Linked DNA regions of Drosophila melanogaster. The protein of the gene in region 2 interacts with the protein of the main gene of each other region in a pairwise test. Each region holds a gene or a part of one and is shown on either strand. Other genes may lie near its edges.

The links.
Region 1: the proteins of CG14315 (region 2) and CG6683 interact in a two-hybrid assay, tested with the Drosophila melanogaster proteins (one large-scale study listed by BioGRID).
Region 3: the proteins of CG14315 (region 2) and Obp18a interact in a two-hybrid assay, tested with the Drosophila melanogaster proteins (one large-scale study listed by BioGRID).

Annotation. Positions count from the first base shown.
Region 1 is NT_037436.4:8,513,265-8,516,798, reverse strand, and holds CG6683 (uncharacterized protein), read left to right. Parts: upstream 1-1,877; 5' UTR 1,878-1,951; coding exon 1,952-2,099; intron 2,100-2,157; coding exon 2,158-2,603; 3' UTR 2,604-2,925; downstream 2,926-3,534. Other genes in the region: CG6765 (uncharacterized protein), read right to left, coding at 1-286, 349-1,415, 1,634-1,710.
Region 2 is NT_033777.3:18,156,661-18,160,077, reverse strand, and holds CG14315 (uncharacterized protein), read right to left. Parts: upstream 1,378-3,417; 5' UTR 1,309-1,377; coding exon 655-1,308; 3' UTR 607-654; downstream 1-606.
Region 3 is NC_004354.4:19,134,559-19,137,790, forward strand, and holds Obp18a (Odorant-binding protein 18a), read right to left. Parts: upstream 1,311-3,232; 5' UTR 1,286-1,310; coding exon 1,235-1,285; intron 1,181-1,234; coding exon 845-1,180; 3' UTR 523-844; downstream 1-522.

The DNA.
Region 1 (3,534 bases), on a different chromosome or scaffold from region 2:
CGATCCCTATTCACCTCCAGCTTCACGGCGGACATCTTGAAGTCGAGTGGCTGCTTGGGCGAAGCCAATGGCAACTCCTCCAGATTGTTGTTGTTGGACGCACTGGAGGCGTTTGGTGGGTTGTTGCTCCAGTCGGTCGGCTCCTGTTTGATGGTGAGGAAGTTGTGCGGATGTCGAAGGGTCGGCGGATGTGATGGTGGTGCCTGCTGTGGTGGTGGCGGAGGTGTGGCTGCCAGGCGAGAGGATACCACGTGCTCAAAGTGTGGTGCTTCATAGTAGTCCCGAGCTGAGGGGAATAAAACATGGGATTAGTCATCATTAGCAGCTGTGCTGAGTACTCTTACTCACATCTTTCGCATGCGCTCTCCCTCCTCAGACGTCGCTCGAAGACCAGGCCCACCTCGTTCCGCTCACGAAGTGCCTGCTCCTCGTACTCTGTCCGCCGCAGCGTGGTCTCCGCTTGGTCAGCACCTGGTCCGGCGGTCAGGGGACAACTGCTGCAGCCCACCTCCGTGCAAATGGAAATGGGCTGCGATGGCGGGGCACCTGAACCTCCAACTGATCCTCCTCCTCCTCCTACTGTTGTCGTTGTGGTGGTTGGTGGTGGTGGGTGAGACTGCGACTCCAACTGACCGGGTGCCGCGAAACAGCATTTGTCCTCCGGATCGATGGCCACCTCCTTGTTGACGGAAATGCCCAACTTGCTGCTGCTCGCGACGGTTAGTAGTCCTGTGTGGGCGGCCAATTTGGGTGACTTAATGATCACAGGCGAGTCCTTGGGCATCACGGAGGCACCAAGTCCACGAAACTGCTGCTGGGGATTATGGTGATTCAGGTGGCTGTGGTGTGACGACAGGTGGTGGTGATCCAAAGCGAAACGTGTCGATCCACCCGGCTTGCTGGCATATAGATCTCCCTGAAGTTGCGCCGACATGGTTGATTGTGGCGGCGGCGGAGGGGGCGGCAAAGCGGTTCGAGTGCCATTCGACATGTACATGGTGCTAGCCTCTCGCGGATGCAGATGCCCGGCCAGTGAATGGGGATGATGTGTGGTCGTGACCACTGAGCCGGATCCACCGCCATTGGAAGAGCTGGTGCGGCAGAGGCCACGGATCTTGAGGATCTCACCGCCGCGCAGGACCTCGTTAAGTATGTCGTTGGAAACTGTGGCCTCGCCGCTGTACATGTACTGAACCAGGATCTGGATGGCGCGATGGCTAAGATCCGGCGGCAGGACCACATACAGCACTCCATTGGGATTGGTGATCGGTGCCGTTTCGAACATGGTGGCGAAGAACTGGGACGAAGCACTCAGGATGAACTTGTGGGCCGAGATGCCCACTGTGGGTATATCCGAGGGGATGCCGCTGCTGTTGTAGGAGCTGTACAGAACCACATCGGCGAACTTTTCGTTCCTAAAGGGGAAATATGATGCGTTAATATAGCATATCTACGTATTTTGTAGTACTCTTGGAGAATATTGAAGAAGGGTTCTTAGAAAATGTGTGTTTAATCCTCTGACCCTGATACATTTAATGTTTTTAACATTAAACAATTAAAAACGCTGCTAGATCACAATTACAAAAAACAAAAAACTTCAAATATGTACCAACTATGGTACAGTGGTACTTACTTATAAAGTGTGGCTATGGAAGAGTTAAGATAGGTGAGGTGTGAGTCCCACTTAAGGTGATAGTTTTCGGCGGCCATCTCTGCGGCCGGCAGCTCCTGTACAACGATAAAATCAATAAATAAATCAATAAATGCCGCCAGTGGGGTGTTTATTTTGAATCTCCCGATCCCACCACACCACCCAAGGAGTGGTGAATAGAGGGTTTAGCCACCATGCTCTTGTGACAGCATATTTCTCACACGAAGCAACGGTCATACTTATTCGCTAGCTTCCATTTGTTTACATATTTTCATTTGTGTTTATTTTGAAAATATCAAAATGTCGCAGTTCGACACGCGACTTATTGAGCTGGTTAGGGCTAATCCCAAGCTTTATGAGCGCGAACTTAGAAACGCACCCTACGAAGCGCATAAGAAGCGACATCCGGAAATCTGGAGCAGCATCGCCACTTCATTAAATTCAGAAGGTAAGAAACTGATAAATTGTATAAATATTCCCTAATTCCTCATTATATTTTAACTTAGCTAGTGCCTGTGTCAGTCGTTGGAATCATCTGGTGGCCAAACAGCGTCGGGAGCTGGCCAAAGAAAAGGCCGGAGGCACTGGCTCCGATTGGAGTCTTCTGCCGCATTTGAAATTCCTGCAGCATCACCACCATCCGATTAATCACCGAAATTCGGGTGATCTGAGTAGGAGCACACTGAAATCCAGCGACGAGGTCAACGATGATGAGGATCCGCTCCAGGAGGCCATGGATGAGCAGCTGGCCGTTGCGGGAGCTGCACCAGCACCACCCACAAATCCTGCCCATGCAACGCCAGTGGCTCAAGCAGAAAAGAGGATAGAAGCCCTGCTTGAAGGACTGGGCGAAGCAAACCGAATTAAGGCGGAGAAACGCATTCTGGCCTACCTATGCAAATGCAATCTGCGCGCCCTGAACGACGAGCAAATCGATGATATAGTTATTTAGGAAGATTGCCAAGATGATATAGTTATAAAGGAAGATTGCCATGATGATAAGTTAAATACATACATGCCGTGATAGGATATCAAAAGTAGCAAACATCACTGATCATATAATTGTTTAATAATTAAGTCATTTTTGTTATAGTTTATATATCTGGACAATTATCTTAAGCGAATACTAAATAACTTCTTTTTCCAAATGTATGCTTCCCTAAAAAATATTGTTAATCCATTCATTTAACCTAATCTTCGCATCTAATGAAGTTTACTATACAAACTAACTATTGCATTGTATGATATGATAAAACATTAACACGCCTGTGATTAAATAGTTTATTTTATTTGAGGCTTAAGATTAGCAATTTAAAATTCAAGACAACTGGTAAACCCCAAACAAAGCATCAATTGTCGCCAGAGGTCATTTATAGAGCCAGAGACTTGCGGGAGTGTATAGTAATGCAGTAGGAAGCTATCTGTGTGGCAAAAGCCAACTTTGAACAGGCGGGCGGGGAGCAGGTGGAGTAGGCGAGGGAAAATCGAATTGAGCCACGCCAAAAAACTCCTACTATGACGCAGCTGCTGCTGGGAACTGGTCAAAGAGTCAAAGAATGCGCGCGCAAGCAATAACATGTCCAATATCCATGTCTGGATCGGATCGGGGGAAGGCCTCCAGCACGGGGACAGGGCGACGACGACGCCAAAACAAGCATTTAGTTTATTAATTTGACGACTGCCGCAGGGGGAGCAGTGGGCCGAAACAAAAACATAACGAGCGAGGAGCGTCGTGCACCCTTAACGACTGATGCCACACTACCACTACCCCCTCGTACCGACTGAGTCCCCCTTACTTCACACGTACATGGTGAACCCTCCGACGCACTAAGCCACTATATGAACCAACTACTCCTACGGCCAGCCACCTACCCACTAGACCA
Region 2 (3,417 bases):
CAAAAGCATGGCAGCAATAATCATATTATTAAAATAACCCCGAAAAGTAGGCCATAGTATTAGCTTCACCTGGCCAAACTTTTTGATCCACCGAAGTTTGTGAGTTTATAAAACTAATTCTAAACATTCAGACTTTCTAATCATATTGCATAGTTTATGAGAGGCATAAGGACATCCTTGGTCTGGTCTAGAAATAGCCTTGAATGTGTCCACATGTCATGTGGACCAGTTTTTTTTTATGAATGAAAAAAGCACCACACCCAGGAGCACCGGGGCAATGCTTCACCTTGCTCTTGACTGCCGCTTTGCCCCAAACATCATAGTACATATATCGATTGTTCGCTTTAACTTTGGACCTGCGCACTAGCAGATACAGATACTCGTACCAAGATACATAGATACTATAGATACGCGTACTTATGTAGATGTTTTGGCCCCAGCTGCTTATCACTGGCACATTGACGACAATGAGCTTTATATGATGCAGAGACCGAACTGTTGCTTCCCACTGACGTCATGGGAATGCTGATGATTAGGGTTTCTTGCACCGAATGTAACCAAAATCCAAAGGCTGCATAATCACCGAGAAAAGCGATGCGAAGTTTTGTTTATCATGTAATTTGTAGTTGTATAAATGAAGTTAATGATAAAATATCAGATATCTGTGACTCCACTGTGGGTAAAGTCCTGAAACCAGTCGAACTGCTCCAGCCAGCGTTGCATCACGCCGCCAAAGACGTACAGACGCACTGGAACGTAGTCGACCTCTTCGTTCACATCGTCGGAGGAATTGGATGACTCGCGTTCGTTATCCGAATCGTCATTCGACAGAAGGACATCCAACGCAATGAGGCAGTGCAGCAGATAGATAACACTGGACACCAATGAGGCTGTCGCCTGGTCCCGCAGGCTACCGAAGAACGGATGGAGCGGCTTCTCCGGATATAGTAAATCATCCGGGTTCCTTCCATCATACCATATATAGAAATCCGTCTCGGCATCGCCCAGTGCCATCAACGATATTACCGTATATAGAACAAATCCGATCAGAGGACGCACAACTTCCTCAACGATCGATGTGCGATGACCGGTGCAGAGATTTATGCTGGCAAAGAGCGTTACCACTGTGAATATGTAAAAGAAGGACATATAAAAGCTTTGGATTAGAACATCTTCCCATTTCATCGTTGTCAGATTGACGAAAACAAATGCTTTCAGTTGGTAGTACAAAACGAATAAGTTGGCCGTCGTCTCCACCATGTAGAAGAGAAAGAGCACCGGGCGCATTTGATACAAGTAGACCCTCATTTCTGCAGTCGCTTCGAACGCTTGACAAAACTAACTACAATAAGTCTGTGCGACAGGTGTACTATGTTTGAAGTGAAACGCTTTAATTCCAGCTCAAAAATTAAAAAAAAAAAAAAATAACAGAATATGTAGAGCCAGGAACTAAGCTCAAGTCAATTTGGTCAAAAAGATTTGGCTAAAACTACATAAGCGGCCCAAACGAATGGTCAAAACGAACTGACTAAGATGAAAGACCAAAACGAAATAACCAAAGCAAGACAAAAACGAAATGATATAACGAAATTAATGGCCAAAACCGAATGACCAATACGAAATGGACAAAATGCCATAACCTAAAGCAAATGGTCAAAAATGGTCAAATGATCAAACGGAAGGAGCAAAGCGAGGTAGTTTCGAAAGAGCTTCATTCTACTAATTTACAATTTAATTCAGATTCTTGAAAATATGTTCATTTATAAGAGTCAAAACAGTTAAAACAAATAAGAAATGTATAGGCCATAGGTCTGCTACAATTTGTTAATGGTTTACATTCTGCCCAAAGGGTTTCCACAAAATGCACTTTGTACCCGGAATGTACATATGTATGTACATACATATATGTAGTTCCCATTAGCGAACTCGAAAGACACGCTTTTGTTGTAGCCTCGGTTTCTTTCTCGGATGGAAAGTGCTGCTTTGGGCTCGGCTCATCTCGTCTGATCATAAAAAACCACTTCACTGCGGCGGTTGGTGCTTCTGTTGCTTCGTTTGCTTCTGTTGGCCGGACGGACTGCGTCTGGAAACAGTAGCAACATTTGCCTGCCAGTTTGATGCTGTTGACTGCTGTTGACGGCGATTACGTTGATGACGCGCAGACCGCAACGAATTTACGCGCAATTCTCCACCGTGCTCCAAACTTCAAGCTCCAAGCTTCAGATTCGGCTCCAGCTCCAGCTTCATCTGAAGTGGCTACGGGGTGGGGGTAAGCATTTAAATAAATGTTTGTACACACGAGCCGCTCATGAAACGCCAAAAAGTTAGTACACTTGTACAGGAACAATTGAATTTTGGATGTAATATTTAATTATGTACTTTGGTCAAATAGATTGGTGTAATCATAGGACCTAAGCTAACTTTTGATTTTTAACTTATGCAAGTTCAAATACTGGTTGCACTTTTATACATACTTTCCTTTCATATTAATCAATGGCTATAAATGCAATGCTACATTCGTTTTTTTATATATATATTTGAGTTCAATGACCTTTAGGAAATTGAGATAAGTTGGCAGTACCCTGCGAATGCTCCGACGATGCGAATCGATAAAAAGTAATAAGTAATAAGTAATCGATATCCTTAGCGCCGTGTATTCCCAAGTTTCCGCGCAATTGTGTTATTTATTTATTTTTTAGTTTAAATCGCGTGATTTTGTGTCGAATATTTTTCCGAGGGTGTAGCTTAATCCGTGTGTTGGGCAAAAAACTACAAGAACGGCCAGAAAAATCACAAAGCCCTGTCTGCTATTGTTGTTGTAGCCACTGTATTGCCTGTTGCAAGCACATGTGTGTGTGTGTGTTTGTGCAAAGTAAAAGGGTTAATTCATTTAACCATTTCGACTGCGTCATCTCTTTGTGGCTTCTTAACATAAAAAAGGCTGAATGCTGCTGCAATTTTGACAAGCGAACGCACCGCATTTTAGCGACTTTAAGTGCAACAACAAAAGAGGGCAGCTGCTCCTTACGTACATAAATACATATATGTATGTACATATGTATGTATGTACCTGTGTACACATTTTATCTTTATTTTTTTCCCGCTTGAGATTCCAGGGATCGCACAGTAGTCACTTGCGACTTTTTCAAGTTGAACTTAAGCACGCGAGCCCTGCCCAAAACAAAAAAAAAACTAGCAAATTTATTTATTTATCCGATTTTGTAAGATCAGCAGAAGGATCTTCTGTCTCGTTTTTGTCGCGGCCGCCATATTGAAGTTTGCGCGTGTGCGTGCGTCCGTGTGTGTCCAACTAGACTGCAAAGTCCAATTGGAAAATCTAATTGGTAATGTTTAGAAATCCAAATATTTGTATTTGCATCAAGGTAATTATATTTAATATTGATTTAATATGTATAC
Region 3 (3,232 bases), on a different chromosome or scaffold from region 2:
AGGAGTTCGTGTGCCATGTCCTGCGTCCTGCGTCCTGCGTCTTTCGTCCTGTGTACTATGTACTGTGTCCTTTGCACTCGACTGCGCTGAGTCGAGTTAATGAAAGGCCAAGTCAAATGCCTCACTGATTGCATTGACATCCTTCTGGCCCTTTTTGGCCCTCTTGGCCCAAAATGTATTTGGCCAAACTTTACGTATGATTTGCTGGGAAAATTGAAATTTGCCCTGCATCCTGTGGGGTCGACTGGGATTCATTATTACGTCCACACATCCGCCCCATCAAGTCGGTTCTGCAGTTCACAGTCTGCGATTTGCATTTCAATTATGTTCAAATTGCATCTTCCATATCTGCCATTTCAAATATTATTCAAGCAGGGGGAAAATTTTGTGTTTGGCTTCCCAGTCCACCCATATATGTACATATGTACATGCATACATACATATTTGGTCAGCAAACTGAAATTTTCTGTTATTTATTTGGCCATGTTTCTTGCGAATTTTCGGAAAATAAAGACTCTGATTGACTTATTATTGCATTATGTATTTCCACCAGTTCTACGTTACTTTGCATAAAACAAATCAATAAAAAGCAGACGAGTTTAAAACAATGCATGTCTACTATTTTGCTCTAATACAATTATTAATCACTGTATACAAATAATAATAATGAAAATCACACTTATACTAAGCACAATCGTGTGTAATTTCCATTAGAGGGCGTTTGATCTGATTAGAAGACTCAACAATGAACTGTGATGAAGCCCATTGTGTCTGTCATGTGTGTGTACATATATGTATGTAGTAATGTATATATGTATACTTTATTTTTTGTTTATTTGGTAAATTACGAGGCGATAGTTCCACTCTGCTTGCCCTTAAAATAACACTGGAGAATCAGGTATGGATAGTCGCACGTGTCCAGATTGGTGACGCCATCGAACTGCTGCTTACACTGGGACAAAATCACGTGGTCCTCTTGAGATCCTCGCTTTCCCACCTTCTGCAGATCGATTTTCCCATCATCACCGAAATAATCCTGGATCAGACACCGGCTATAGCACTTAACGGCCACTGGAACATCCGCAACGGGAGTGGATGGAGCCACTGCCTGCACTTGGGCACTGGTCAGATTGTGGTGCTTTAGGCAACCCTCTGCGTTAACGCGGCCAGCTGATTGCCACTAGAATAGATGGTATTGTTAGATGGACACATAACTATTTCGTTAAGAACTGACCATAGTTATCAAGCAAATCCATAGTACAGCTATGCTGCACACAACCTTCATGGCGAAAATCTGTTTCCCAACTAACAATGAGCGCATCATCACAGCTCTATATATATAACCCATCGATTTGCTAATTCAGCTCAAAAGTAGACAGGAGATTTTAATTAAATAATTGGATGCTACTTTACATTCGCCACACACCAACAAATAAAGTCTATAATTGAAATTTTAAGCGCAGTTCCCGATTATGAGCTACACGTATGTCGTATGCGCAATATCTGCATTACAATTGCCAATAGTAAATTACCAACTTGGTTTTCTTCATATTTATTAAGATAGAAAACATACAATTTTTGGCTTTTACACTCCAAGCATCTCTGAAGTTTAAACAAAAAACATATGTGTAGCCTATCTACTGTATTGGACTTTATTCGTATATTTTATATGGTTCATTAATATAGGTATAAATACAAATTATATTCACGCTTTGCGATTTGCAGCGAATATCACATCTTATACACGATGTAAAAAAAAAAAAAATATTTCGTCATGTTTTTAGGTTGGCCGCAGGCAGTGCTCACTGTACCGCCACAATGTTTATCGTTTTGCATTTTTTTTTTCTTTGTTTTCTTGCGGTTTCCCCTAATTATCTTTAGTATAAACTTAGTCTACTGTCTTTTTTGGTAAGTATTTTCGTGATGGGCTCGTCTATGCGAATTCCCATTTCCAATGAATAAATAAAGTAATTAGAACATTAAAATTAGCAATAAAACACGTACATTTAAAGCTGACAACAAAAAAAAAAAGTATTCTTATGTTAAACTGTAGTATGTGCCTATGCAATATTAAGAACAATTAAATAAAATAGCATATTAACTTATGGCAGCACTTTGTTGCTATGTTTATGTTTATGTTTATGCACGCAGTTAGGCCAGGGCGGATGTAACATGATCACCCACTCGAAGGCAAAAAGTATAAGTGCATGGTCAGCATTCACACGCCGACCAAATACATATTACATACGTACATACATATCTCGCTCTCCCGATAAGCCTAGATATATAAGATATACATAAGAACGCCGCTCCGCTGCTGGCGTACCCGGCAGCGCAGCTACGCGGATTAGCCTAAGTCCAAATATATTAAAAACTGTAAAATCAGAGAGACTCTGTAGACGTTGAGCTGACAGAACCATTTCTGCCTACTCTAAAATCAAAAGAAGAAATTGAATAAATATATGTCAGCCCGACGGCTGCCTTCAACTTAAAACGGACTTGTGTTCTGAATTGGAGTTCATCATTACATGGCGACCGTGACAGTCGTCCAACGCTGGACGAATTGACCAAAGCTGGTGAAAACAAAGGAACAAAGGAACACTGGACTGGAAGAAGACTGGACTAATTAAATGGAACTGCAAAAACCAAGGAAAAATCTGAGTGAGTAGAGTTCTATTGAGTATGGGCAAACACCGTGGCGGTTTGAAAACTAAGCTGAATAAACGTATAGCCCACGTAAGGTGGCTAATATACGGTCAGCAAACGCCACCGGTTTGGTCGAAAGCTCTAAAGCTACATGCAGAGCTAGACCACTTGTTGCAATATCAGCAAGAATTAAAGACCCATAAGCTCGAGAAAACTCACTCAGATAATATTAAAAATATACCCACAATTAATGAAGTTCCAAAATACCAGGCATGTCCAGCACCAGCACCAGCATTAACAAAACCAAAGAAGTCCTGCCCCCCTGGCTGCGAAGGAATCTGGAGTCCCCACTGCCTGGGGACTTGTGAGCGACCATCGACGTCTTCAGCGGCGAAGAAATAGACAGCAGCGAGGGAGTGTCAGCGTGCCACCCCCGGCGACGCCCAGCTGACACCTGATGAGCATCATCAACAGCAGAATATAATAATAAATATATATAAATATAAAGTAAATATAAAATATATATAGATAAGAAAAATTGTAAGAAATATTGTAAAACGGAGCATATACTATTATGCCCTGTTAA